Saccharomyces cerevisiae S288C: one gene and its partners. Changing the gene in region 1 together with any one later gene gives a genetic interaction. Each region holds a gene or a part of one and is shown in the gene's direction. Other genes may lie near its edges. The genes, in order: MKS1, DLD2, FRE7 and SLX1.

Region 1 (8,102 bases):
GAGGTCTCGCTCTCCTACCATAAACGCAAAGCCAATTCGACACACTTCACAACGAAGAACAGACTTTACCAGCAAAAATGAACTCTCCAAGTTCAGCAAGAATCATAATTTCATTTTTCACAAAGGGTTTTTGAAGAGGCAACACTCCATACGCAGGGAAGACAGGCAAGCAAAGGTACGGTCAAGATTCAGGAGCAAGAAGGAGCTGACATCCGTTTTGAACTATATAGAACTGGAACAAATGGATATTGCAAATGTCCTGGCTTCGCAACCGGTAAACTTACACGCTATCAGAAATCTCACTAGCAGGGACCCTGCGGTAACTCCTATCCCATTTTTAAGAAGCCAGATGTATGCAACCAGTAGTCGTCCACCGTATCTAAGGAACCGCTCCATAAGTAGGAAACTACCCAAATCACAACCAGGTAGTCTCCCGACGACTATGCCTGCGACGGCGACGAAAACAATTAAACAGAATTCAACGACCCCAACCACAAGATCTGTTTATAACAAGAATGTGGGGCGGTCCAATACTTCCCCTAGTGTGTTGTACCACCCAAAAAGAAGAGGAAAATTGAACACCAAATCGCATGCAAGAAAGGAGCAACTGCTGTTGGAACTGTGGAGAGAATACTTAATGCTGGTTATAACACAGAGGACGCAACTGCGCCTGACTTTGCTTTGCTCTCCGGGTTCAGCATCGAATGAAAGCTCTGTCTGCTCTTCTAACGCCAGCGACTTAGACATGTCCCTTTTATCTACTCCTTCAAGTCTCTTCCAGATGGCAGGTGAGACCAAAAGCAATCCTATAATTATACCCGACAGTCAAGACGATAGTATACTTAGTAGCGACCCCTTTTAAGTAGGTAACCCCCCCTGGATTGCATAGCCATTGCATAGCCTTAGACATCAAACTTTATTTAATCACATTATCCTTCTATGTATCTTTTTCCCCCGCTCGATTTCTTCTAGAACATTACGGAAAATAAAGGAAAAAAATGACTGGAGCATCGAATCTGTAGACTAAAAAGGTAATGACGCGTTCTTCGTTCCCACAAGTATGTGAAATCGTTTGAACGCTTTTATATACTGATAGGAATAGATTATAATAGTATTCAACATTCATCAAACAGTTTATATCGGTAATAAACCAACCTCACGATACAGTGATTATTTCTCTAAACAACACGAGCCGTACTGTACCTACGATAAAGTAAAACACATTTTTCTTTTGCTACCAGTGGACACAAGATAACGGAGAATGCAACAAAACACGTCTTTATATGACTCTTTGAACGTTACTGCCGCTGCATCCACATCTGAGATTAAGAAAGCTTACAGGAACGCTGCATTAAAATATCATCCTGATAAAAACAATCATACAGAAGAATCCAAGCGAAAGTTTCAAGAGATATGCCAGGCATACGAAATACTTAAAGACAATCGTTTAAGAGCTTTGTATGACCAGTACGGTACCACAGATGAAGTCCTGATTCAAGAGCAGCAGGCGCAGGCGCAACGCCAACAAGCCGGGCCGTTCAGTTCATCCTCAAATTTCGATACGGAAGCAATGTCATTCCCGGATCTATCTCCAGGTGATCTTTTCGCGCAGTTTTTTAATAGTTCTGCTACCCCCTCTTCTAATGGCTCCAAAAGCAGTTTTAATTTTAGCTTCAATAATAGCTCTACGCCGAGCTTCTCCTTTGTTAATGGCAGTGGCGTGAACAATCTGTACTCCTCGTCAGCAAAATACAACTCCAACGATGAGGACCATCATTTGGATAGAGGCCCTGATATCAAACATAATCTAAAGTGCACATTGAAGGAACTCTACATGGGTAAGACTGCAAAGTTGGGTTTGAATAGGACAAGGATTTGCAGTGTTTGTGATGGGCACGGTGGTCTAAAGAAATGCACTTGTAAAACATGCAAAGGGCAAGGTATTCAAACCCAAACTAGGCGTATGGGACCTCTAGTACAAAGTTGGTCTCAAACTTGTGCAGATTGCGGGGGTGCCGGGGTTTTTGTCAAAAATAAAGATATTTGCCAACAGTGCCAAGGTCTTGGCTTCATTAAGGAGAGGAAGATTCTACAAGTCACCGTTCAACCGGGATCGTGTCATAACCAACTTATAGTACTTACGGGCGAAGGTGACGAAGTTATTAGTACTAAGGGAGGCGGTCACGAAAAGGTAATACCTGGTGACGTCGTTATCACCATTTTACGTTTAAAAGATCCGAATTTCCAGGTTATCAACTACTCCAATTTGATATGTAAGAAGTGCAAAATCGACTTCATGACCAGTTTATGTGGAGGCGTAGTTTATATTGAAGGGCACCCTAGCGGTAAGTTGATCAAACTTGATATTATACCTGGCGAGATACTGAAGCCTGGTTGTTTCAAGACTGTTGAGGACATGGGGATGCCCAAGTTTATCAACGGTGTTCGGAGCGGTTTCGGTCATCTATATGTCAAATTCGATGTGACGTATCCAGAGAGACTGGAACCTGAAAATGCTAAGAAAATACAAAATATTCTGGCTAATGATAAATACATTAAAGCAGAACGTTCCACCATGGAAACCGCAGATTCAGACTGCTATTGCGATTTGGAGAAGTCATATGACAGTGTGGAAGAGCATGTGTTAAGTAGCTTTGAGGCCCCTAATTTAAACAATGAAGTTATTGAAGACGACGACCTTGGTGATTTGATTAATGAAAGAGATTCTCGGAAAAGGAACAACCGTCGATTCGACGAAAGTAATATTAATAATAATAATGAAACGAAACGAAATAAATATTCTTCACCGGTAAGCGGTTTTTATGACCATGATATTAATGGATATTGAAGGTTATATAGTCATGCAGTAATGTTATACATTTTCTATTTTTATTTTTTGTATCAGTACTCTATCTATAAGGACATTCCTTTTTTTAAGCAATGCGGAAAGATACGCTATTCTTCCTGTGGATGGTTTACCGCGGTTTGGGTGGTAATATCATTGCAGCCCTAGTCCTTTAGCAGTTTTTTTAGCGTGTAATACATTGTTATTCATCTTTTTCTTAGTGCCTGCCAAGAGATCGTGGGAGGTTACTTAACAGAAAAGCAAAAAAAAAAACCGATTAGAATGTGCATGCCGTTGTTACAGAGAAGCAAGGGAAGTTCACCACTGATCATATTTCTAAGTTCATCAAAATATCGTTTTGGTTTCAGCAGTAGGGATCTTTAACCCAAGTGTTCATTTTCTTTCCTTTTTGCTTTTTATTTGAATGATCTGAACAAAAGGAGAAACATATACTGTACTATTGCGTGAAAACGAACAGAGCACAACCCTCAAGAAAAAAGAGAACTACCCCTTAGTTCCATCTCATTTACTTAAGCAACACTTCCTAATTATTCTCTAATCCTAATAAAAAAAAAGAACTGATGTCGCGGGAGGCATTTGATGTACCGAATATAGGTACTAACAAGTTTTTAAAAGTCACACCTAATTTATTTACCCCAGAGCGATTGAATTTATTTGATGATGTCGAACTATATCTTACGTTAATAAAAGCATCCAAATGTGTCGAGCAGGGAGAAAGGCTGCACAATATAAGTTGGAGAATTCTGAATAAAGCTGTTCTAAAGGAGCATAATATTAATCGATCTAAAAAAAGAGACGGCGTGAAGAACATATATTATGTGTTAAATCCAAACAACAAACAGCCAATAAAGCCAAAGCAGGCAGCAGTAAAGCAGCCACCATTACAAAAGGCCAATTTGCCTCCCACAACGGCAAAACAGAACGTTTTAACTCGGCCAATGACATCACCAGCTATCGCACAGGGTGCTCACGATAGATCCTTGGATAATCCTAATTCTACAAACAATGATGTGAAAAATGACGTTGCTCCAAACAGACAATTCTCCAAATCTACTACGTCAGGGTTGTTTTCAAATTTTGCAGACAAATATCAAAAAATGAAAAATGTGAACCATGTTGCTAATAAGGAAGAACCACAAACTATTATCACTGGTTTTGATACAAGCACTGTTATAACCAAGAAACCTTTACAATCAAGACGCTCAAGATCACCTTTCCAGCATATAGGAGACATGAACATGAACTGCATTGATAATGAGACTTCCAAGAGTACCAGTCCTACTCTTGAAAATATGGGAAGTAGAAAATCCTCTTTTCCTCAGAAGGAATCTTTATTCGGAAGGCCAAGGTCTTACAAGAATGACCAAAATGGTCAACTGTCACTTTCGAAAACATCCTCTAGAAAAGGAAAAAACAAGATATTTTTCAGCAGTGAAGATGAAGATTCCGATTGGGACAGCGTTTCGAATGATTCAGAATTCTACGCTGATGAAGATGATGAAGAGTACGATGATTATAATGAGGAAGAAGCAGATCAGTACTATAGAAGACAATGGGACAAGCTTTTATTTGCCAAAAATCAACAGAATCTTGACTCAACGAAATCATCTGTTTCATCAGCGAACACAATCAACTCAAACACATCCCATGATCCCGTACGAAAAAGTTTACTCAGTGGACTATTCCTTAGTGAGGCAAATAGCAACAGTAATAACCACAATACTGCACATAGTGAATACGCTTCTAAACACGTTTCGCCGACTCCTCAGTCCTCTCATAGTAATATCGGTCCTCAACCGCAGCAAAATCCACCGAGCGCTAATGGTATAAAACAACAAAAACCTTCTTTGAAAACAAGCAACGTGACAGCTCTAGCATCGCTATCTCCCCCGCAACCATCCAACAATGAGCGGTTATCGATGGATATACAAAAGGACTTCAAAACTGATAATGAGTCCAATCATTTATATGAATCTAATGCTCCGCTAACTGCTCAAACTATACTGCCCACCGCCTTATCTACTCACATGTTTTTGCCAAATAACATTCACCAACAACGAATGGCGATTGCCACTGGTAGTAATACGCGACATCGTTTTTCGAGGCGGCAGTCGATGGATATCCCATCCAAGAACAGGAATACTGGGTTTTTGAAGACCAGAATGGAGATCTCTGAGGAAGAAAAGATGGTACGTACAATATCACGGCTTGACAATACGAGTATTGCAAACAGTAATGGAAATGGTAATGATGACACCTCTAATCAGAGAACGGAAGCACTGGGGCGTAAGACGAGTAATGGAGGGCGAATATGATTACTAAGTTAAATAAATCAGATACAGTATTTAAAGTTCTTTCAAAAAAAGATAATGTCATATATTTTACTATCTACGCAGTGAAAGAGTTCCTTCTAATGACACACTATTCACTTCGGGTAACGGATATTGTGTACTGAAAAATATAAAAAATTTTATCCCGGAAATGCGATGAGATGAAAATGCATGAAGTAGCGTATATATTGATTGCATGAGGTTGGACTTGAAAGGGCATATATACTCGGTTTTATCATTGATTCAAGTGTTCCCATAAATAATAAAACAGTTAAATCGAAATGCTAAGAAGACAAGCCCGTGAAAGGAGAGAATATCTATACAGAAAAGCGCAAGAATTACAAGATTCTCAACTGCAACAAAAACGTCAAATAATTAAACAAGCGCTAGCTCAGGGGAAGCCATTGCCAAAGGAACTAGCAGAAGATGAGAGTTTACAAAAGGATTTCAGATATGACCAAAGTTTAAAGGAGAGCGAAGAAGCAGATGATCTACAGGTTGATGATGAATATGCTGCCACAAGTGGTATAATGGATCCAAGAATCATCGTCACAACATCTCGTGACCCAAGCACTCGTCTCTCGCAATTTGCCAAAGAAATTAAACTGCTATTTCCAAATGCTGTCAGGCTGAACAGAGGTAATTATGTGATGCCAAATCTAGTGGATGCTTGTAAAAAATCCGGTACTACAGATTTGGTGGTATTACATGAACATAGAGGTGTTCCAACTTCTTTGACCATATCACATTTTCCACATGGACCCACTGCACAGTTTAGTTTACACAATGTTGTTATGAGACATGATATTATAAATGCTGGTAACCAAAGCGAAGTGAATCCACATCTAATATTTGATAACTTTACTACCGCTTTAGGGAAAAGAGTAGTCTGTATTTTAAAGCACTTGTTCAATGCGGGGCCCAAAAAAGATTCCGAAAGAGTAATCACTTTTGCGAATAGGGGTGATTTCATTAGCGTTAGACAGCATGTATATGTGAGAACAAGAGAGGGAGTAGAGATTGCCGAAGTTGGTCCTAGATTTGAGATGAGGTTGTTTGAACTGAGGTTGGGAACTTTAGAAAATAAGGACGCTGATGTTGAGTGGCAGTTGAGAAGATTCATAAGGACTGCCAATAAAAAAGACTATTTGTGAATTTTTTTATAGATTTGTAAAGGTTAAAATAGAAGGCCGATGAGGCCTTATGTAAGTCTAATATGGTATTCTTAAAAAAAAAAAAAAAAAAAAAGCGTCTTAGAGGGAATATAAGAGAAAAGAAGAGATAGCATAACACATGATTTATTTTTATTTTTGCGTTTTTTTTTTTTCTTAATTGTTTATCAATGTATCTGTGAGAGTATCTACATAAAAAAAATAACCATATGAAGACATAAATTTAAAAGAACAAAACGAACGAAGGGAAGAGGTGCAGAAAGGAAATTTATGTATCACAACTATTAAATTCAGTTGAAAATCCACCATTTGAAACTTTTTTCTTAAGCACTTCACTGACTTTTTCAACTCTTAACTCATGTTCGGAGGATAACGTATTAGAAGAAGACACGTAAGAAGGATCTGTTGATAAAGGCATGGGCTTGCCTATTGCTGTATATGACGAAGATGTCGATAAAGGCGTCTGGGTTGCTAATTCGGGATTACTTGCCAAGTTTGCACTTGAACGCAAAGACGAACTTAACGGAAAGGAAGGATCTAGCATGTCCATGGTTAAATCTTCTTCTTCGCTGTCACTTGATTCTATTTGGAACTTGGGATTCTTGTGCATGTTTGCAACAGGGTCAACGTTTGATAAAATGGATTGTCTTTGAAATAGTATCGAAGATGACCGGTTTTTTGGGGATTTTGCATTGTTATTAGCATTATTTGAATATTGTCTCGCAGATTGCTGCGGAGATACATAAGGCGAAGTAGCTGGTAATTCTGTAGTTTTGATGAAGGGGTTGGAAAATGTCGTTGTTGCTGACGATGAAGAATAGGCTTGTGGTGGGGACCTCTTGAGGATGAAAGGGCATGAGTACGCTTGGGATTTCATAGGTGGTCTAGATGTAGGCGTATTATTGGCCTGTGCAAGTTTTTCATCATTCAACATATCGACGTAAGAGTAGAATCTTAGTATTCTGGAGTTTGGTTCGCCATTTGAAGTTGTGGTGGTCATCCCGGTGTTATTGATGTTATTCAAGGTGGGACGTGTAGCCGCAGAATGCGAATGAGATCTCGAAAGTTTAAGATCTGGCGATGCTGGCGAAGATTCTGATGAGGGAAGAGTGGCACTATTCGTTCTAGCCAACAGGGCCATGTTTAGGCTCACAGCAGAGGAAGGTCTTCTTGAATAAACCATATCGACATCGCTCAGGTCAGTGTTCTCATCGTTCACTATTGAGCAACTAGCATCTAAAGCTGGAGCCACCGAGTTTTCTAACGTACGACGGCGATGGTGATGATTTTGCATGTTGCAAATGGGGTTCAAGATGTACTCTTGATGTGCTAGCGAGCTTGTGGTGGAGTTCGACGCCGACCTAGACGTTGGTATGACGTTATCTAGCGGAGAGGAAACATTATTGGAGTTCTTCCTCAACGATGGAGTTCTAACCTCGCTACCAGAGATAGGTATCGGAGAAATGGTCTGCAAGTTGTAAAAACTATTAGATCTTGAGCTATGAGATGTGTTGGAGGCGGAAACCGGAGGTTGAAGAAATAAATCGTTTGAACTTGCCTCTTGCACGGTTCTTTCGAAGATAAAAGAAGGGTTGCTGTTGTTCGAATTTGACTTGTACACGCACATACCGTCTTTTTTGGCAGTTTCCTTTGACAGCACTTAGATTCTCCTCAAGCTCTTTTTACCGTACCTGTTCCTATTTGAAATATTTAGATCTGTGAAAGGATTAGTCT
Region 2 (7,784 bases), on another chromosome or scaffold:
CGGTGTGGCCGCAAGGTTCTACTCTGAAGGTTCTACCGGCACCCCAAGAGGGTCAGGCTCAGAGGATTCGTTTGTTAAAAGGGAAAGGGCCACGGAAGACTTCTTCGTTAGGCAGCGTGAGAAGGAGCAACTACGCCATTTGAAAGAACAACTGGAAAAACAACGAAAGAAGATTGATTCTTTGGAAAATAAAATTGACTCGATGACCAAATAATCATGCGTTTCCGCAGAAGCTTTTTTTTTTTTTTTTTTAGAATATTCTTACTCTTTTATAGTCAAACAGCAGAAAAACTATATAATAATACATCACACTGAGCTTTTGCATTTTCGATAACTATCATTCTAGTTTTCCTCTGGTTTGAATTTTCCTCTTGTCTGTCTGACTAATGTCACTCATTATTTCCACTTCGCGCAAAGTTCGTCCCAATGCGGAAAGGCATAGAAAGATAGGAACAGTGTGGAACATGGAAAAGTTCCAAATAACGTCAATAGTCCATACTTAAGATACGAAATTTCAAAATTCCTTCTTTTTTGTTTCAACAAGCTTAGCCTAACACCAAGAATATACTTAGCATCTCTTCGCATTCAAAATTTCTCTTCCATTCTTTGACGTTTTAAATCATACCTCGTATTCTTTACACAAAAGAAAGATACCTGTGAAATATATCTGAATATGGTCCGATTAAATCATGCAGCATCATATTTTATGCCTATTTTCTGCTCCACAAGGCCTCACATAGTGATACTTTCTGCGCTGTTTAGTATTTCACTGTTTTCACTATTCTATGCGTCGTCCGAATTACTGCTACACCAGTATGATGATCCATTGATGTTCAAACCAAATTCGCAGGACTATTTCAGGACCTTTCTTTTGGGGCTTTTTTCACCATTTCTTTATTATTTCCTGAAGACCTTTCTATTCAATATAAATCAAAGGTTTTTAATATTGAACCTGATAGTGGATTTTCCTATCAACGACGTCTTTATGCTTTTGATACTGATTGGTTTAGCGTACCCTCAGGTGCAAGATCACGAAGGCGGTACGATCAAGCATAAGGAATGTTCTTGGCACATCATTCCAAGACAAGCCTATATCTTTGGTATATCATGGGCCCTGGGTGAATTCACCATATGCATAATAGGGAATTTGTTTAACTACCAAGAAATCGCCGATCCAAACATTAATAGTGGCTTCACACACCAGGAAAGCGCCAACACTTACTGTAACAATAATGATATGAGCCATAACGATGACTGCGGTTGTAGTACAGAATATCGCCCCAACGTCGTAGACAGAAGTGATATTACGTTGTCCAAATGTATTGAAGTAAGAAATGACTCATCTTCCATATCGAATAACGTATACTCGTCTGAGTACCATCCAATCAAACCTCTACGTTCATCGTCATCAACTTATGGCAGCATACGACAGCAACCTCATGAAAATAAGAAGCAGCTGCATGTACCAGATAATTCGCAGGACGATACAATTATCATGATGAACCCCATCGACAATTCATTAAAGTTGACAACTCTAGATACGGGTGATTTGAGTTTCCCCATAGACGAAGAACAGCCCATTTTGAAGAAATCTTTTGGTTATACATGGGCAGTTCCTAATGAAAATACACAAAATACTACTAAAAGCTTCACACCGATAAAGAGATTTATTGCATTTAGCACGGCATACCAGTTGGTCACCGGTTTATTGTTAATGATATTGGTAGTTGGTAGTAATATCATGTTGACAATTGGGGAATCATTGATTCTGTCGATGTATTTCGTCTATGTTCGCGGCCATGAAGGATTATTTACTCCCGTGGTGAACTACTTCGGCTCAAGAACCATTTCAAATTTCATCTTATGCGTAATAATTCCTTTCATATCTCTAAACTTCCTCATCAACACTTCGATATATTTAAGAAGAGAGCTAGACGATTGGTTTAATAATTCACAGGGGGAGTTTGAGGACGACGACGAAAATACTATCAGTAAGAGAGTAGCTACAAATCAAGAGTACCAACATCCACTGAGTGCTAATTACATTTCGATGGATAGTCCTGATGTAATAAATAGCAGCCCGGGTCACTTCGGGATGAATTCAGGCCAGTTGTTAGGTAATACGACGTTATATTATGGTAGTTTAAATGGGGATGATGATGATATGACCAACGACTCCGCTTTACTAAGATTCTGCAAGAAGCTAGTCAAAAATTGGAGGGCTTTGGCAAGAAATGATTCTTTTGTACTTGGAGTAATGGTTTCTTGGAGTCTTCTTGTTTTTGTAACGGGAATACTTTCAACAGTTTATATATAGCATATAAGTAACGACCGTGCACATATTAGGGTGTTCATATCTTGAAAAATCTTTATGTTATCCATTTTACTTTAGGGGAGGTGGAGCTTAATAATAAAATTTACATAAGAACAACAATCTGTAAGTAATTATAAAAATATATTAAAGGGACATTTTAACCCTACTTTAAAAGTTTAACTACATCAGTGGTTCATCAATCAAAGGTTATGCAAGGTAGAAATTTGTCCAAAAGAAAATAGATCATGCATCATTCAATATGGAGCTCACACTGTATGCTACAATTTGGCCTCCATTCATAACTGCCAAGATAAAATTTGTTGGCAATATGGAGCTCACACTGTATGCTACAATTTGGCCTCCATTCATAACTGCCAAGATAAAATTTGTTGGCAATATTGAAAATTCTTAAATTAGCGCTGCGCGGAAACCAGCGTCACTAATTTTTTTTTTTATTGCTGCACTAAAAAAAAACCAGCTCAAGTAGATAATCTTACAAGGGACAAGTAGTCAAGCCTTGCTTATTATAATTCTGTTTAACGGTGCAGTGAGTTTGGACATTCATGCAACGTGGTAAATATGTGTCTCTTTGCTTCTGTATTTAAGCATTTGGGCAGCTTGCGGTCAGTAGAAGAGTGCATCGACATTCATAGATCTCTAATAACATATATTTAAGTGGATATACGCAAAGAAAGGACAAGAAAACTTGTTTCGGTAACAGCATTATTAATTCTGAAGAAATACGCACAAAGAGATGATTTCTGACTACGATGCTCTTTTGCAATTCAACAAAAAACCTGTTTCGCAAGAAATGATTCAGTTCTTAGCCACTTCTACTGCTTCCATAATTAAAATCAGGGAAAATAATAATCCAATCCAAGGATGTCGCCCACCAGACTTATCTATCTTCATTAAAAACGTGGTAATTCAGTCAAATGTTCAAACACCAACTTTAATGGCCACATCAGTTTATTTAAACAAACTGAAAAGCGTAATACCAAAAAATGTGTACGGTATTAACACCACAAGACATCGGATATTTCTCGGATGCTTGATATTAGCTGCCAAAACTCTGAACGATTCTTCTCCCTGGAACAAACACTGGACCACGTACACAGAAGGTTTACTCAGAATACGTGAGGTGAATACCATCGAACGAGAACTATTAGAATATTTAAATTGGGATGTGAGGATAACTACACCGGATTTGATTGATTCTCTTTCTTACTTCCTCGGGCCTATCAAGGAACAACTATTTTTACAAAGGAGACAAGAAATGCTGTTGTTCAATGCACCAAGTCCCGGCCAACTGAAAGAATATATAAATCATAGAAGACCGGTTTCGCATTCTAGAACTTCTTCTGCTATATCGGTTCCTTCACTGACATCCATGGCAACAGTTTCGACAACAGACTCAAGGTCTTCTCTACTGGCAAAATACCAACCGTCCCTACCGTTGGTGGAATCTGACAACTTCAACAAAAAAAATCATGTGCCGTTAAGGAATAATAACGATATCTGTAATAATTTCAGGGCAGAGGAAAACATACACTCAGTAAACCATATTGATGTAACAATGGGAAGTTCACCAGTAATGTCGCATAAGCCCACAATTCACCAACGGTTAAATTTTACAAGGAGGGGCTGGTCATCGTTTTTCAAGCAATAATTCTAAGTTACTCGCCTTTTACAAGCTCTATAAATATTCTTTTCCGTTCTTTAGTTGTCTTAACTTTGTACAATATGAATAACCATCGTTTCTAGGCTACTAAAAAAACACCATACTACATAAACAAATATCTAATAATGAATACTCTTGGCATTCGTCTTGTTTCTCGAGGAATATCGGCCGAGTTTTTTTCATTTTGACAGGTTATATAATTCAAAATCTATCTGACTCTGAAAAAGTGGTAATAAATGCATTGACAACTTCTTCTCTTTATTTTACAGACATTAATCCAGCACTACAAGTGGCATATAACAAGATGCTAAGAAACATTTTGGTGAGAAGTACTGGCAGCAATTTCAAATTTGCTGGCAGATATATGAAATCATCAGCTCTTTTAGGATACTATAGAAGAGTTAACTATTATTCGACCAAGATACAAACCAGACTGACTAGCGAAAACTATCCAGACGTGCATCGAGACCCTAGATTCAAAAAATTAACGTCCGATGATCTAAATTATTTTAAATCTATTTTATCGGAACAAGAAATATTAAGAGCCAGCGAATCAGAGGATCTTTCATTTTATAATGAAGATTGGATGAGAAAGTACAAAGGACAGTCCAAGTTAGTATTGAGACCTAAGTCAGTGGAAAAAGTTTCTTTAATCTTAAATTATTGTAATGATGAAAAAATTGCCGTTGTCCCACAAGGCGGTAACACGGGGTTGGTAGGTGGTTCTGTGCCCATTTTTGATGAATTAATTCTATCTTTAGCAAATTTAAACAAAATAAGAGATTTTGACCCTGTATCAGGTATCTTGAAGTGTGATGCTGGTGTAATCTTGGAAAATGCTAACAATTACGTAATGGAACAAAATTATATGTTTCCGTTGGATCTGGGAGCTAAAGGTTCCTGCCATGTTGGTGGCGTGGTTGCAACCAACGCTGGAGGACTAAGGTTATTGCGTTATGGCTCACTACATGGAAGCGTTTTAGGCTTAGAGGTGGTAATGCCCAATGGTCAAATTGTTAATAGCATGCATTCCATGAGAAAAGACAACACCGGTTATGATCTGAAACAGCTGTTCATTGGCTCAGAAGGTACTATCGGTATCATCACTGGTGTTTCAATCTTGACTGTTCCTAAGCCAAAAGCGTTTAATGTATCTTACTTGTCTGTTGAAAGTTTTGAAGACGTTCAAAAAGTCTTCGTCAGAGCCAGGCAAGAATTATCTGAGATTTTATCCGCTTTTGAATTTATGGATGCTAAATCTCAAGTATTGGCCAAGAGCCAATTGAAGGATGCTGCCTTCCCTTTGGAGGATGAGCATCCATTTTATATTCTTATCGAAACGTCAGGGTCAAACAAAGATCACGATGATTCCAAACTTGAAACATTTTTAGAAAACGTCATGGAAGAGGGCATAGTAACGGATGGTGTAGTGGCACAAGATGAAACCGAACTCCAAAACTTGTGGAAGTGGAGAGAAATGATTCCAGAGGCAAGTCAAGCTAATGGTGGTGTTTACAAATACGATGTTTCTTTACCACTAAAGGACCTATATTCTTTGGTTGAAGCCACTAATGCAAGACTTTCTGAAGCTGAATTAGTGGGTGATTCGCCCAAACCAGTGGTGGGCGCCATTGGATACGGTCACGTGGGTGATGGTAATCTACACTTAAATGTTGCAGTTAGAGAGTACAACAAGAACATTGAAAAGACTTTGGAACCATTTGTCTACGAGTTTGTTTCCTCAAAACATGGTTCCGTTAGTGCCGAACATGGGCTAGGTTTCCAAAAGAAAAATTACATTGGCTATTCTAAGAGCCCGGAAGAGGTCAAGATGATGAAGGATTTGAAGGTTCATTATGATCCTAATGGAATTTTAAACCCTTACAAATACATTTGAAAATAAAATGCCAAGTTTTATAGTTATCTACATATGTATATATTTATCAATATTATATTCTACAATTGTGTATATTATATGGTAAGGGTGATATTTAAGGAAGAAATCCACCCTTCTTTAAGGTTTCCACTGCACATGTTGAAATGTGTCTGAATCTTGATGAGCCCAAAGGCGTGCCACCATACCATCTGGTCACTATTACCAAGACGTTGAATATGTTTGCTCTTTCAAGTAAGGTCAATAAACGCTGTCCAGCACCAGCTTCGCCACAGTCAGCACATCCTTGCTCAATGTTCTTTGGCTGCACCGTTATGTTCCTTGACTTGTTAACATGACTATTATTACTCTTATTTGCTTTATTGCCCTTCTTTTTCTGCTCTTGTTGTAAGTGCAAATTATTTGATACCTCGGCCGTTCTCCAGGCATACATGTGCATGTGGGATGCCTTGGAGACGCTTTTGTTGTTTTGCGTTAGTTCTTGGAGTATGGAGGGTATATCCTTTTGATTTTGTAATGGGCAACATCTTGCTTGAAATTTCGATTTTCTATCAACTAAAACTTCTGATTCATTCCATATTTTCACTAGCTTACCAACATTCTTACTCATTTCTCCAAAAAATAGTAATACCAAACATCAATACCTATCTAAGAATCTGTATAATGTCTTTTCTAAAGGTTTTTTACAGCTGATGATTGATGCATGACTTATTTCCACAGTGCCGTATTTTCTCAGTTGCCGTTTTGGGTCTGCTTTTCACAATGCGAAGCTTTGTTGAAAAGAGCTCTAAGGTCAAAAACAATAGTAAGCTGATCGGTATTAAGTACTTGCCTTCCTGAAAATTGCTAACAAACATCCAAATATACCTTCCCCATAGTTGAATGGCATCTAATAGAACAAAACCAGGTTAAGATAGGTTTTACTTTGAGTTGTTAAATACACGCAGAAAGCGTCTTTCCACATAATCTGAACATTTTGTTATCGATGGCTACTGGCAGGATTCAATTTGCTGTTTCTACTCCCTGCAATACTAAGGGTAAACCGTCTGGTTATAGGTTATTTGAATTTAAAAACGATCGATTAGCACTGGTCCCATCAGAAAGAGGTTGTACAAAAGTAGATGTGAATGCAAATATACAAGCGTTTTGTTATTTAAGGCCTAATGGTAGAGACACGTCAATATCTCCAGACGCAACGCATATTTTGGACTCATGTGATTACATGGTGCTGGCTAAATCCAACGGATTCATTGAAATCATAAGCAACTATCAATACAAGATAAAAAATGGCCTGCGATTAGCGCCCTCTTATATCCTTAGATGTACTCCGGAAGATTTCGAATCCAATTTTTTTAGTGACTATATGATCGCTGGTCTTGAATATAGTCAAGGTTTATTATATTGTTGTATGTGCTCCGGTCGAATATATGTCTTTGTAATGAACCTTCCCACTGATTACATTCAGTATAAGAACATGTACAACCCCATGTTTCCAGATTGCTTTTTCAAAGTACATCACGATAATAATACAACACATTCTTCAGAAGAAGAAAAATTATTTGAAGGTAGTACGCGGTACACTGGAAGGTCATGCTCTAAGCATATCTGCTACTTCCTTTTGCCTATAGAACCATCCCATTTAAGATCGTCACCCGTGGTATCTTCGTTTTGCAATATGTATCAAGGCCTGCCCATATATAGGCCTTCGATGTATTTACATATAGAACGAGGTATTTCCACATTCCATATAAATCCATTAGACCGGTTTTGTTTCATGACAGTATCGCCACGATCACCACTATTTATAAGGAAAATAATTTTACCATTGACTTATGTTACATTTTTAAGCACCTTTATCAGCCTAAAGAACAGTATACAGGGAGATACATGCGGTG
Region 3 (8,264 bases), on another chromosome or scaffold:
AGAAGTTGTGGACTACACCCAGAACAATGCTACTTACGCAGTTAGAAACACCGACAACTATCTTTACTATCTCGCTGACGTTTACAGTGCTTCTGTTATACCTGGTGGCTGTCTAGGTAACTTGTAATAACCACATCATTACTTCCACAGAATATGTTTTCTATACCGTAAATATTAGTTCGTTTATGTTTTTAAAATAAATTGGAGCTATTCTTTTTCATTGAATTAGATGGTATTTTTTATATGATTGCAAACTTTGACGAGAATGTACTGCTCATTATTTTTCGTAAACTGCAAAAAATTGAGCACAATATAAGTATCTCAGTGCATTGTATACGTGTCGAGTAATGAATCAAACAATAGCATTCTTCTTCTCAATTTTACAATAGTCTGAAACAATTTAATGACAAGTTTATCATAATTGTGTTATTATTATATTTATATTTAGAGGCCTATATTGCGCATCGAACTTTTCAAAATCCGCGCAAAATTATAGAATTCATCATATATAATGAAGGAACTGTGTTCCTGAAAAGAACAAAAAAAGGATTAACTACAAAATGAAACATAAATATGTCTTTTATCAATTAAATTAATGATAATTTATTCTTACCGAACGTTTTCTTCTACCAAGTTTTTCGCCTACGCACCTACATTTCCTCTTTTGAATTTCATGGCAATAAATAGTAAAGAAATCAATGATCGTCTTGGTTTTATTAAAAAACTTGAGAATAACATAACCCTTTAATAGGCCAATGCAACTGATAGAACACCAGAAAAAGTTGTAATGCCAGTGCGGCTGAACAGAATCTGTGGTAATAGATTTCGGGTATAATGCGCAAATTAGGAATACTCATATGTTCAGATAGAATAAATAATAAAGAGACCTTCAACATAAAAAACTAATAGGACCTTCATGGGCAAAAAGACAGGATTACGCTAAAATATACTTCAGTGATTTTCTGTTAATATGCGAAAGAAAGACACATAAAATATTGGTGAACAGGGCAAAAAATTTTAGATTTGTCAGTCAGTGAACAATATTTCAATTGGTCACTTATAGAAAAGATTATTATAATTACCCATGTTAGTGTCGCCAAACACTATTATGAAATAAAGATAATATTCTATTAGCAATGGTCTCAAATTAATATGAACGGGCATCATTGGCACAGAGTAACCATTTTAAAATAAAAAGAGGGCAGGAACTCTCACACATTTCGGTACGAACAAACTGATATACTATATCTATTAAACCGTAATTCCAGACGCGTAATACTACAGCATAATCTTCAATATAGATATGACAAGAAAAGAACAAGTTTTTCCATAATAAGTATCCCATTTTACCTACATTTCCCTTCTTCGGTATGTTAAATTATTAATATTCTTTGCAATTGTTGGCCGTTGAGTAAAGTTCTAATTTCAAAAATACTAGACTTTGACTGAAACGTTATAGGAGTTTTAATATCAATAGACCGTTTGGCCAAGACGCGTTCAACATATACACTGGTCTACCATTATATAAAAAAATTCGCCCATTAATCATGGCCATACTCGTTGACATTCACAATATATTCATAGACAAATGCTACTGCTGAAACGTGTGAAGATGCTGAAATATGTTCATTAACAGAATGTATTGTCCTTAGTTGGTCAAATGGAAAGATACCTGCAACAAATCTATAGATGTTTTTGCTTAATCCCCAGTAATACTTGGTATCGGTATTACCAGAAAACAAGCCACCCGTAACGTAGACATCTGCATCTTTCTGCTCAGCCAAAATTTCGTTTTGAAACAAGTTTTGAACAGTACCTGCAAAAATCTCCCAGACATGTCCTGAAGTTGGCGATACTGGTGCTGGTTCTAACATTTTTTCACTTGCTAAAGAAATGTGGCCAAGTTTTGTTTCCGGGATGATAATCTCGTCATGGAATGTCAAACCATACCCGTGCTTTTCAGCAATAACTCTGGCCCAATACAAATCATTTTACACAGTTTCGTTCACAGATGAATGAATATCCACTCTATGGTTAACAATAAAGCTGGTCAATCCTGGCAATGCATTAGCCTTGACACCGCCATTAATGACATCGACTGCTCTAGTTGTTCTTATTAGGTCACGAATGTCAGGGTGCGATGCAGCAAATTCCGTCAAAACCTTCCTTTTCCCTTCATCCACAGGTGCTTTTAAGATTGCCTCCCTGACATGTGGTGGCAGAAAACCTGAATGCTCGGCAGCACATTGTAATACATCATAAATGGGGTTATCAAGTGAGAAATTATAATCGAATGGGTGATTTTCCATCATATATATCAATTCTGATGCAACACCAATGGTAGTATGGTCAGGTTGTACGGATGAATGACCACCATGACCATGGATACTAATCCTTACGTCAACGTAACCCTTCTCAGCATTTACAGCAGCTGCAATGTAAAGGTTTTTATCCAGTCTTAGGAGTCCAGCACCTTCATCAATAATGGAAAACATGCTATCCGGGCCATACCTTTCCAACAGAAATGGTGCCAAGACTTTAGCGCCCATAAAACCGCTTGACTCCTCATCAAAGCCCAGAGATAATATAACGGTCCTTTCAGTCTGATAACCATCGGCAAGCAGTTGTTCTATACCCTCTAACTCAGCGAGCATTAAGTTCTTACAATCATTGGAGCCGCGACCCCAAACATAGTCCGTTTCTTGATCATAGTGACCCGACAATGGTGGATACTGCCAAGAATCCCATATTTCCCTGTTAACTGGCACCACATCTTGATGTGCCATAAATAATATTGGTTTCAAACTCGGATCTGTACCTTCCCATGTATATAATAGACCCAATTGGTTGACTTTTTCCACCTTTAGATGAGAGTGAACAAGAGGAAAAGTCTCTTAGAAATATTTGTGAAGTTTGAAGAATTCTGAATAGTACTCTGGGTCATCGTTTGGAAGCGGGTTTGTGTCACTAATTTCTGTAGGAATTTGAATGGCACCAGACAACTTTCTTATTGAGTCTATTTTGAATTGCTTATCGTTCAGAATCAAATTCACAGACTTGTTAAACGATGGACGATATACTTGAGGCTTTTTACATTGTGGAGAGGCAGGAACGTCAAAAGTGGAATTTGGGACGGGTTTGGTAAAGCTGCTGATATAAGCTAAGAGCAACGTCAATAAACCAATTAATGGCAGACCAAATTTTTTACACTTAGAATAGGTAGAGGAGGTTGGCTGCTTAGAAGAAGGATACACATCCGGAAGCGGAGCGTGATGAGTCTCTGTCATATAAGCGTTTTAGTATATGGGAGGAATGACAGAGTATAAGCCGTTATGGTATACTACTACGAATACATAATTAAGAATAGGGTTTTAATGTAGTTGCTTGTATATCTTCTATGTTCCCCTTTTTAAGCACCCCTTAGAAAATATATATTGTCGAGGATTTTTCTCCAGAGACCATGAAATGAAAAAGAATCCGAAATATGCACTCCTTCGACCAAGGCTTTAGAGCACCCTCATTTAAAGCCCGACCTGTAGTGCATATGCAAGATTAAGAAAAAGAACAGAGAGAAAAGTCCGCTTTACCATAATGTTAATTTATTCTAAATGCTCTCATTGACTTTTATTTCACCGACCCTGAGTCAAATTTTCGACCATGTTATATACATGCTATTTAGTAATCAAGTGATTAATTTTACCGAACTCAAAGTTGCAGCCGCAGAAAATAGTCATCTGATAATCTTATATATAGATCCGACTTATTAAAGGACATAATTTTCAAAGAATCGGGTACGTGCCTAATGCAATCATGTCGTGTCAATCAACTTCCCCCATACTATATCATTGTTTTACGCCACGTTAATAGGAACCAACGAATTTCTTAAAGCCAATCCTTACTGCTATTTGCAGATGGACTGACGGTTATGCATTCACTAACACCCCAGGTCTTACCGTACCACATATTTAGGTGCAATACTAATCAATTGTCTCTTGAACAGTAACGACGAAAGTATGAACTTCTTATCTATGCTATCTTCAACGTGATAGTTTATGCTACTTTGCAGATGTTTGAGTTAACCTGCTAAAATATATTAAAGCAGCTATAGTTATTTTGAGTTGGTCTATACAACTTCAGGAAAATGTCGTTTGAATATTCCTGCACAACGCTGGGATATTTACAACCAAAGATGCCACTACAAATAATAATGACATGTATATGAGAACATTGCAAACGATTAACGCTGCTCACTTAATGCTATGTAGACTTCAATATATGTCTTTGAAAAACGCTTTTCCACAATCACAGGATAGCAGAGGGATGCCTAGAGGAATACTCCCCGGCTAAAAATGCCTGAGACTGCCCATATATTCCCACGGTAATTATCCATATAATAACGAAATTGAGTTTTCTATAAGTAACATCAGCCCATCACCCATTTATTTGTTCTATAGAATACTATACTCTTTTGCTCCAGTGTCTTACCTCAAGTGGACGCGCTCTCAGTGCCAAATACAGAGACAACAAGGACCTGGAGAGTTGTTCATAACAAAAGTTTCATCATGCCACCAGCGTAATGACAGCCGCAGCAGTGTTTGACCAATTGAACTATGATAAAACTACATTATGGTTTCTGACTATGTCTGTACATCCATGCATCATCTTTTGAAGTTTTTATTTTGATAGCATCCTATTTTGTGACTCTTACTTTACAAGAACGCCAACATAGGGAGTGATTGATATTCTCTGAATTTATCTGGATACAGCCAATGACATCCTGAAATACCTATAGTGACAGTAGCGCATTTCCTGGTCATTTATTAATGGTTTTAGACACAAAATGAAGATAACAGATAATACGAAAGTATCTTAAACTGCAAAGGGGATCTATACGCCACGACTTACTGAACATCTCTGACCAATAGAAGATCCCTCAAGTTTATTAGGCAACTACAGTATGTTATTACAAGAGCATACGCCTGTATTTGGATGGCCAATGAACAAGGAGGATATTTTTTCCACATATAAGTGACCGCCATTAAACAAGACATGTTTGAAATAACCTCCTTCTGTCATACTATGTGCTCACTATTTTCAGAAAATGCGGTTGAAAATCCTCGTCTGCGCAAATTGAAAAAGTCGATATACGTTTCAAGTAACGCAGCCGAAATGCCCGTTTGCCAAGCTTATTATATTTGGAAAAGTGTCAAATTATAGTGCTCGCATCTGGATGTACCGCGCATATTTCTTAGTTAAGCAGGATGTATAACTGCGCATTAATACGTGAGCATTTGCGCAAATTCACTTCTTAAAATCTCTGAAGTACTTCTTCATTATGCACTCGTTTGTTCTCAAGATCATATAAACCATGCCTTTATTACCAATACTAAAAGTTTTTTATTGCAAGTAAAGGGATATTTCAAATTTTTATTTCAAAGTTTATTTATATACATCGATAAATAATAAAATGATTGAAGAAAGAGATTTGGTTTTAAGCAATGGTATCCATTGTATTGCTGACATCCACTCCGAACTATACGCCAGGTTAAAAAAAGAATCGCAGGCAGCGACACCATGGGTGTACCAAAAACAATACGGAAAATTCGTCACTTACTTTGTCGCTGTGATAATTTTTTTGTCTTTGATAAAAAAGCTGGCATTTATGTATTATGATTCCAGTGAGGAATTTCTTCCAGAAAAGAAGAACTCGCCGACTACCCCTTCTGTATTCCTTGCTCGAATAATGACGAAACTTGTCGCATTCAACAGATACATTTGCTACAGGAAATTTCCCACGTTGATATTTTCTTATTTAGGTATTCCGACATCTGTGGGTACTTTTTTAGTAGTAATGGCTACCACTTTATACACACTTCTATACTGCTTTGTTCCTCATCCATTCTACAGACCTTGTGCAGGATTTGGTTCGCCGCCTTTGTCTGTTCGTGCAGGCATAATGGCAATATCTTTGGTTCCGTTTGTATTCTCACTTTCCGGGAAGATCAACGTTATAGGTTGGTTGGTTGGGCTTTCGTATGAAAAAATCAACATATACCACCAATGGGCATCCATTCTTTGTTTATTCTTTAGCTGGGTTCATGTCATTCCCTTCCTACGTCAAGCACGACATGAGGGAGGATATGAAAGAATGCATCAACGGTGGAAGGCATCCGACATGTGGAGGAGTGGTGTCCCACCCATCTTATTTTTGAATCTGCTATGGTTATCTTCGCTGCCTATTGCTAGAAGACATTTTTATGAGATTTTTTTGCAACTTCATTGGATTTTAGCTGTTGGATTTTACATTAGTTTGTTCTATCATGTATATCCCGAATTGAATTCCCATATGTATCTGGTTGCTACAATTGTGGTTTGGTTTGCACAACTGTTTTACAGACTAGCTGTGAAGGGTTATTTAAGACCTGGTAGAAGTTTCATGGCCTCGACCATTGCAAATGTCAGCATAGTCGGCGAAGGATGCGTAGAATTGATCGTCAAAGATGTGGAAATGGCCTATTCCCCAGGTCAACACATATTCGTGAGAACTATTGATAAGGGCATCATTTCCAACCATCCATTTTCTATCTTTCCGAGTGCAAAGTATCCCGGAGGAATAAAAATGCTGATTAGAGCCCAGAAAGGGTTTTCTAAAAGGCTATACGAAAGTAATGACGACATGAAGAAAATTCTTATTGATGGGCCTTATGGTGGAATCGAGAGAGATATTAGAAGTTTTACCAATGTCTACTTGATTTGCTCTGGTTCAGGTATATCTACATGCTTACCTTTCCTGCAAAAATATGGCCCCATACTCCATAAGACAAACTTAGAAGTTATTACATTGGACTGGGTGGTAAGACATAGGGAGGATATATCATGGATTAGAGATGAAATGTGTACCCTCTCAAATAATTTGCGCCAGTTATTTTTAGATGGGAAAATTGTGGTTAGAATTTACGTCTGCTCGGACAGTACCGTCCCTGGTATTATTAAAACTTTCCCTCAAACAATAGACACCGCCAGTGACCAATCTGATTTAGCTAAAAGAGAAAAAGATACCGAATTCGGCCAGGATGATACTGAGTCAAATTCAACTTTCGACAAATCCAATAACGAATATAAAGGTCTCATCACCATTATTCCTTCCAAACCTGATTTGAATCAGGTCATTAATGATTACCAAATTGGGTTCAGGAACTGCTTCATTTGTTCAGGTTCTGACAGCCTAAGGTATACCGTCGGAAATTCCGTGGCAGGTTTACAGGCCAAGGTTTTTTCTAACAAAAATGTCGAAGAGTGCTATTTACACAGCGAGAGTTTTGGCTACTAGTAGGAAACAGATGGCATCCACCATGTGAAATATCATTCAAGCATTTCGGCAAAACCATGTAAATATTTGATTATTAGCGGGTAAATATGTAATAGTTATGCACTTTAATTCTTTTGTTCATCTAGAAGACAATACAACGCATTTCTTGGCTAACCATCTTACAGCCTTGAGGGTAAAGGGCGGGCAAACGAACAAAAGTACAAAATTTCCATCCTTGTTTGATAATCATTTCCTCGGACCAGATAAGAATGAGCAGCCGAAATAAACGGTAACGTGATTAAAACCGCTAGAAGAGTGTTTTTGTAAGGATGAAAACCTCAGTGAGAAAGTTGACAATATAAACATTATCAGCTTTTCTCGCCCTCTTTTGCACTTCCTGCAACATTACTTGTTCTGCAGCTTGTTTCTTCCAAATATATCCATGCTCTCGGTGTGCCACTTCTGGGGTTTCTCACCAATAACAGAACATATCCAGTATAATACATACACCATATTCACACCCTATTTCATATCATTAACCTCTTCATTTTTAAATGCCAGCGATTACTTTGACTTCTAATCAAGAACGCGAAAAAAAATTACCGCGTGAACTATGTCATATTTGCGATTTTAGGTACAATAAATATTATCATTATTATATTATGTTTGCATGTAGGTTCTACAAATACATTGTTGTACGCTATAGTTTCCTTTCAAAACTAGAAAGAATTCGTAACAAAATAATCTCCAATATTTTATAGCACCTTATTAATATCAATGCTGCAATACCTTCTCATTTCAACAATTGGCCCTCACCTCTTTTGTACAAAAAACGTCGCCATTGATAAAATAAGTAAGAAGCATATAATTGGAATGTCCATTACGTAAAAGAAAAAAAATCATGTGTACATATTACGTAATAGAATACGGAATTTTCTCGCGGAAGTAGATCTTC
Region 4 (7,140 bases), on another chromosome or scaffold:
AAGCTTCTCTTAAACGGTACTGGTAGCCCTTCTTTACCTATTTTCAAAAGGGGACTGCACCAACACACCTGTTGAGGCAGGTTAGTCTCCATTGACGTAAAATTGTTAGATGGCAAGAATATTTTGCATTCGCCATTATCGTAAAAGTTTATGATCAGCTTCGTATGGTGGGAAGCGAATGGGGGCATCGTTATTTCAATAAGTTTGACCTTTTTTAATATTACTGCCAGTGTCGCGTCCATAGCACGGGCTTCGATAGGCATAATAGTACCCTTTTGGCCGACGATGGTTATGTTCTCTACGTTCTGGTGGAATTGTCTCAACAAGAAATCAAGTTCGTATTGGAAACTGAAGAGTATGCTTCTTTTTAGTGTCTCAGTGCCAAAGATATCTTTCAATGTAATCATATCCTCTACTTCTCCCATAAAATCCTCTCTTTCATAGAAGTCCGATTTCATTAGTTTAAAAACGGCACCTTTTGCCGTATCGTTTGTTTCTATTCTCTCACTCAAATCTTGTTCCTGATTAGTCAAATCAATGATTTTCGATTCACTGACTATGACGCAGTCGTCGCTATCATTGTTACTGTTGACCGGAGCCATATTCTCCATTTCAGCACTATACCTGACGCTCTTCCACCGTTGTGCTACTTTCTCGGCAACATCCGACCTCTTCCTCTTAGTTCCATTGAAATTTGTTTCTCGTGACATTAATGATCGGTTGAAAACACATTATCATCATTCTTGTCTGGGCTCACCGTTTCTCTGCATTATTTTCCTCTTTATAAGCCCTTTATTAAATTACCATTTTCGCAGTTTAGTGCGGCCGCCGAAAATACATCAGAAGGGATCCATACCAACACTTACCAAGAACGCTGAAACACGTTGTTCACATCACCTGAAACAAGCAGCAGCTACTGGAGAAGTGTGTAAAGTAGTAGTAATTATTAAAGGACACATATTGAAGGATTGTTCAATTTTCTTTTTTATTATTTTTCCCCTCATTTATCCACTTTTTATAAACTGCTCAAGTAAATACAATGGGCTCCAATAAGGAAGCAAAAAACATTGATAGTAAGAATGATAGGGGGTTAACCAGTATAACCAGTAACAAAATTTCCAACTTAAAAGCACATGATAACCATACAAGTTCAATGATTACTGAACATAAAAATGCTGACAAAGAAAAGGGGAAACAAGAAAAAGAGAGTAGAAATGGAACCACGCAATCAAGTAGTTCAGTAGAATCACACTCACCACAAGTAAGCCATCATTCAGATAAGCTCTCGTCCTTTGATTCGCCCTTACATTTGCCAAACTTTAGACTGGCGGATGACTTGTTCTCAAACTCGTCAAGACGATCATCTGACTCCGCTGCCTCATCCTCAGTATCCAAACTGAAGTCCGCTCAGCTTTCCAAAATAGGTCTACATCATCATCATACAAGTAATAATAAACATAGTCATAGAAGCGGAACTCCGACTTCCGAAGTGAAAGCTAATTACTCACCAGACCCTTCTGCACCGCGATTCATTGTATCCAATATGGTCGGCAATGGCCGGGGAGGTGGTGGTCTACACGGTGCAACTTCGAACGTTGTCAAGAAACTCCATTCTAGAAAAAAATGGGACTGGAACACTTTACCGGCATCAGATTCTTCTCTTCTAATCAAAACCGTTTCAGGAAATCATAATTTAATCAACATTTGCATAGACGGTGAATTCAAACAAATAATGTACGACCCGAATCATAATGAGCTCTTTAATAGAATGGACTTGTTTCTATCTTTTAACATGGACTCCTCGCCAGAAGACTCTTTAATATTTGCCAAGAAAAGATTACGGTCGTACATTGATTTCCTAACAAAATATTTGGAATCTAGGAAATATGCATTTGAATGTTATCCATTTAACATTGAAAACATCATAAATATAGAGACTGAGGTTAAATGCTTTCCATCGTTTGACCCGTTAAAAGATTATTCTGAAATTGAATCCTTGATTCAATTATGGTTGGCTCAATCTCAAAAATTTTTACTGCAATCAAATTCATTCTTCTTTTCATCTGAAGTAGTGGAGGAACTAATAAAAAGAAAACCAACCACAAGACAACATTCTAATCCAACAATCAGCACCACCAGCAACAAGATCAGTGACCCTACATTATATATTCAGCAGTTAGATATAGAAGCAAACTCTCCAAGGCCAGTAATATCGGATCCATTAGACGAAATTGACATCTTATTAATAAGACCGCTGCATAAAACCCTGGGCGGTTGGCAGCTGGCGTATGATGAACCAAGCTTGAACATCGCAGATTTCGCATTAGATTTATCTCCCTGGATGATTGACAGCAGTGACAATGACGCTCAGAATAAGAATGCTAGTGAAATTGCTCCTGAGTATTTAACAAACTTACAAAATTATTTGCCACGAAAGGGTTCAAGAGCGAAAATAGTTTCTGACGAACAAGAAGTTATCGAATTGAATTCTTCCAATGCTTCAGAGTATATGTATGATTGCATGAATAGAAAGTTCTTTACAGATGATGCAAAAGAACGTATTTCTAGAAACAACTTCAATCAGGGAGTTGAGGAAGACCCTCTAAACGACCAATTCGCTTCAAGTAGATCTTTATCATTGCCGTCCTCGGGAGCAGATGCTGTCAAAAGGAAGAAGAGCCCTACCAAGGCTACTAAAAAATCTGGTTTCGTCAACTTTTTCAAGAGAAAGCATTCTCAACTTGCATCAACTTCACATACTACAAGCCCTTCAGTTTCACCTAGCATATCTTCTTCTTCTTCTCCAAAAATTCAACCACAGTCACATATCTCTAGTCCCCCTCGGACAGAGAAAGCTCCCCATGTCAAATCAGCCAACCAAGCACATCAAAATGAATGGTTGGAGAATTTTTTTTGCCGGACTTTGAACAACTACAAAGAAATCGATTTACCGACCCAATTTATTTTGCCAAAGGAAGTGAAGAGGTCCTCTAATGCACAACTTCAGCCTGAAGATGAACCACCTTTGTCATCACCAATATCCTCTAATTCGGATAACTCCTTTCCAAATGAAGGACTTGACAGGGCAAAAAGCGCAGCTATTTATGGTAAAGAATATTTAAAATTAAGACTGCCGTTTGCATCAGACACTATACCTGCTGTAATATGCCCGTGGGTCTGGACAAGTTTAAGTTATTATAAATGGAAAGCTCTACTTAGGGAAATATACAGATCAATAATTCCTGGCGGGTACGCGCTGGCAATTGTTCCAGATTTAAGGATTTCAAACACATACTATACTGGAATTCTTGGCAACGCCGATGCCGAAAAAGCAAATAATTCATCAGAAGAGTTTTTGACTACAAAAGAACGGGACAAGACATTTGATGCTATGGCTATTGATGCGATAAATAAAGGCTTACATATCCATCCTACAAAACACTTAACGAGGACATTCAAGGATGTAGGGTTTACAGGCATCAAGTCCTCGGTCCTAAGTTTGAAAACTGGTGACTTCAAAACAGATATGGGCTTTTTGAATGAATTTAATTCTTTAGATATGTGGGACTACATGTTAAGGAGGCAACTACCAGATAGTAGTTGTCCTCCAAAGGATACCGACCCCACCACTCTTTTCAAAAGATATGTGGAAGAACACATAGGAAAAATCGATGACAACGCTGGCTGCTTTAGAACTTTGTATGTGGTGGCGCAAAAGCCAAAGCTGCCATATACCAAATAATTGTGCCGCCGTTCCAATTTTTTTTTAAATTGTTCAAGAATTACTTCAATTTTTACTACTGGACAAAAAGCATTATGATAAGGAGTAGTCTCCCAGTATCGTAGAACCAATTTGAAACACTTTAGCCAATATTTATTAATTTTTTTTACTTCCCATGGCATAGTACTTTGTAGGAAGATTATTTGTTCATTTACTACATTTATTACATCTATATTTATATATTCTATACCATTCATTTTTTTTTATGTTAAGCTTCTCTTGGGAATTGTTGGGGTATGAATGTTAGCAGAATGACCCAACTCTTTTTCTAGCATAACTCCTAATTTTTTATCTTCTTCAGAAACGTCACGAATTAAACTGTCCTTTTCATCACCAGAATAGTATTTTACGTCCACTTGGGAAGCCAAAGAGTGCTCTGTTTCCTGTAACGAGTCGACAGTAGCTTCGTCGATTAAAACGTATGCTATGTTAGAACCCGGGCAATCATAATTAACGTTTAGCAGAAGTCTTTCCATTATCCCTCTCAACCCTCTGGCGCCAGTTCCTTCCTTGAGAGCAAATTGAGCAACTTTCTTTAGCGCCTTTTGTGTAACACACAATCTTACCCCAAATTGCTTAAAAATATATTCATATTGATCCAATAAGGCATTTTTAGGTTCTTTTAATATATGAAATAAATCGTCTCTTTGTAGAGGCTGCAGAGCAGTTATAATTGGGACTCTGCCAATTAATTCAGGAATTAGACCAAAGCTAACTAAATCTGTGGGGGTGGTCAAGTCTAAAGCACACACTTTTTTTCCGTTATCTAATTCAACCTGCTCAAGCGTATTGCTAAATCTGAACTTCTTCGCTCTTTCTTTTTCAACTTCTTTACTATTCGATGATTCAACAGACTCTCCTGCCTTCTGTATTTTCTTCATATCTTCTATCCTTTTAACAATATGCTTATCTAAACCAACAAAAGCTCCCATAATCATGAAAAGAATATTTGAAGTGTCTACAACAAATACTTCGTCCTTCTTTGTTGTAGTTTGATTTTTTTGTCCGTCAATATCATGCTTAACAGGCCTTTTAACGGTAATTTCCACTTTATGGCCCTCAATGATTTTCAATAATGACTGTTGAACCCCTTCTCCGGACACGTCTTTAGTGCCAATGCTTGCGGCAGGCTTGGCTAGTTTATCAATCTCATCAAGAACAATAATACCTTTTTCTGCTCTCGCAACATCAAATTCAGCATTTACGAGCAATCTTTCAATGCATACTTCAACATCTTCACCTATGTAACCTGCTTGAGTCAATTGTGTACAATCTGTAATTGCAATTGGAACGTTTAATATTTTCGCCAATGTTGTTGCCAACAAAGTCTTACCAGAACCTGAGGGACCAACGACAAGGACATTACTTTTGCTTAACTCTAAATCTTCGTCAACCTCTCTACCTGCTAAATTAAACTGTCTTTGAAGATTCCTCCAACCAGCCTTTGATTCGCTGTTTCCACTGAAAATTGGTTCATCCCTATCATCCGCGATTTTCTCTCGTTCCATCAATTCTCTCTGCCTTTGTAATTCCCCTTTCTTTTGCTTGTCATTGATTCTTAAATAGTGATTATAAACTGCCACGCTTAAAACCTTCTTACCAATCTCTTGACCAACAATGTACTCATCGAGGAATTTCTTCAATGCTTTTGGAGTGGGTATATTCGATAAACGAGACTGTGCCAGTTTCCCTGATGCTGTAGCAGCATATCGACCAATTCTACTAGAATAAGCTCTAAAAAAGTTTTGGCTTGCAGATTTCAACATGAGTGTGAAATGTAATTAGAGTGCCTTGTCTTCTATGGTTTTGTTTGATGAGCCGTTTGCTTTTCTTTTTAATTTTAATATATACCACTGATGACTTATTCCCTTCTATCATCGAAAAAATATTGTCAAATTAATGTTCTCTTTTTTCAAAAAATATTAAAAAGATAAGAAAGGTACCATGTCGCAGAAAATACAGCAGCATCAGTTTCCTGATTTTTATTGTTGTTATCTACTACAATCGATTAACAAGAGGCAATCATTTTACGTTGGATCAACTCCTAACCCAGTACGACGTTTGAGGCAGCATAATGGGAAATTGGCTGTTGGAGGGGCATATCGAACCAAACGTGACGGTTCAAGGCCCTGGGAAATGATAATGATTGTGCGGGGCTTCCCAAGTAAGATAGCAGCTTTACAGTTTGAACATGCATGGCAACATGGGTACCAAACGCATTATATTGCCGAAAAAGATCGTGTTGTAAAGCATAAAGCAGGTGGAAGAACTTTACATCACAAAGTTGCATTAATGAAGTTACTTTTAAAGCATGAATTTTTTCAAAGGATGAACTTGATAGTCGAGGTTTTTAATATAAAGGCTTGGGAGGTTTGGAAACAGGACAAATTTTTTATTGAAAGAGACAGATTTCCGATTAATATACAAATAAATGAAAATGCGCTTGAAGAACCAAAGGAGAAAACTGTGGATGTTCTCATGGATCATAGTGATGAGAATTTAAAAGTGGTGGAAGCTGTATACACTAAAGTCATTGAAAATGAAAGAAACATATTCGAAACTTTCGAAAAGAAACTAACTACAGGGGTAGTGCGATGTGAAATTTGTGAGAAAGAAATTGACTACACGTCTGAAGAGCAAAATCTGAAGCCGTTTGTAGCGCTTTGCAATAATAAAGACTGTGGGTGTGTTAACCACTTGAAATGTCTTCACAGGTACTTTCTAGATGATGAACAGTTGATGGTAGGGAGAAGAAATTTGATACCTCGAGGTGGGAAATGTCCGAAATGTGATATGTTTTGCGACTGGACGACCCTAGTCAAGTTTTCGACAAGAATGAAGTTAGCTCACGGGAAGTAGGGCCTGACACAATTTTCGGTTCTTTTTTTTCTATAGATAATGGTTATATGTTATATTTACGGATATTTTTACGTTTACTTTGTAAGAAAGAGCTAAAAAGATGTAAAGATATCACTTCGTTTTTTTCCCTCAAAAAATAACTTCCCAATCTTCAGTTATGTCAAGCGATAGGTTAAGAATGGTGATCTTATTATCATTCTCATATGACGATCTAGTCGGCAATGAACTTTCTTCGCCATTTTTTTTGACTTTAATACTGTCTTTCAACGTTATGTTGTGTTGTAAATTATTCTTTGCGATAATGATTTTTTCAATATTGGTATTCCTCAAAGTATTGTGGTGAATGCCTGTCAAATTCTCGGGAATATGACTTCGAACATTTTTTAAGGTATTGTTTTCGAAAATGAACTGAGTTTCTACGTACTCACCTCTTTGGTAGCCAAAAGTTTCTCCATCATCAACATAAAGATCTCCAACGGCTCGTCCCTCGGTATCAGGGG

The links.
Region 2: mutations in MKS1 (region 1) and DLD2 together harm fitness more than expected from each alone (negative genetic interaction), as found in Saccharomyces cerevisiae (2 studies listed by BioGRID).
Region 3: mutations in MKS1 (region 1) and FRE7 together harm fitness more than expected from each alone (negative genetic interaction), as found in Saccharomyces cerevisiae (2 studies listed by BioGRID).
Region 4: mutations in MKS1 (region 1) and SLX1 together harm fitness more than expected from each alone (negative genetic interaction), as found in Saccharomyces cerevisiae (2 studies listed by BioGRID).

Annotation. Positions count from the first base shown.
Region 1 is NC_001146.8:480,130-488,231, forward strand, and holds MKS1 (Mks1p), read left to right. Parts: upstream 1-3,426; coding exon 3,427-5,181; downstream 5,182-8,102. Other genes in the region: NIS1 (Nis1p), read left to right, coding at 1-862; APJ1 (Apj1p), read left to right, coding at 1,262-2,848; snoRNA-binding rRNA-processing protein IMP4, read left to right, coding at 5,478-6,350; MLF3 (Mlf3p), read right to left, coding at 6,637-7,995. UniProt on the Saccharomyces cerevisiae protein: Negative regulator of Ras-cAMP pathway. Involved in transcriptional regulation of galactose-inducible genes.
Region 2 is NC_001136.10:135,223-143,006, forward strand, and holds DLD2 (D-lactate dehydrogenase), read left to right. Parts: upstream 1-4,299; coding exon 4,300-5,892; downstream 5,893-7,784. Other genes in the region: INH1 (ATPase inhibitor), read left to right, coding at 1-214; AIT1 (Ait1p), read left to right, coding at 674-2,317; PCL9 (Pcl9p), read left to right, coding at 3,069-3,983; YDL177C (uncharacterized protein), read right to left, coding at 5,987-6,499; GID12 (Gid12p), read left to right, coding at 6,875-7,784.
Region 3 is NC_001147.6:35,281-43,544, forward strand, and holds FRE7 (putative ferric-chelate reductase), read left to right. Parts: upstream 1-5,467; coding exon 5,468-7,330; downstream 7,331-8,264. Other genes in the region: ZPS1 (Zps1p), read left to right, coding at 1-127. UniProt on the Saccharomyces cerevisiae protein: Cell surface metalloreductase. May be involved in copper homeostasis.
Region 4 is NC_001134.8:669,588-676,727, forward strand, and holds SLX1 (endonuclease), read left to right. Parts: upstream 1-5,725; coding exon 5,726-6,640; downstream 6,641-7,140. Other genes in the region: TDP1 (tyrosyl-DNA phosphodiesterase 1), read right to left, coding at 1-710; YBR225W (uncharacterized protein), read left to right, coding at 1,040-3,742; MCX1 (Mcx1p), read right to left, coding at 3,985-5,547; glucan 1,3-alpha-glucosidase ROT2, read right to left, coding at 6,770-7,140. UniProt on the Saccharomyces cerevisiae protein: Catalytic subunit of the SLX1-SLX4 structure-specific endonuclease that resolves DNA secondary structures generated during DNA repair and recombination.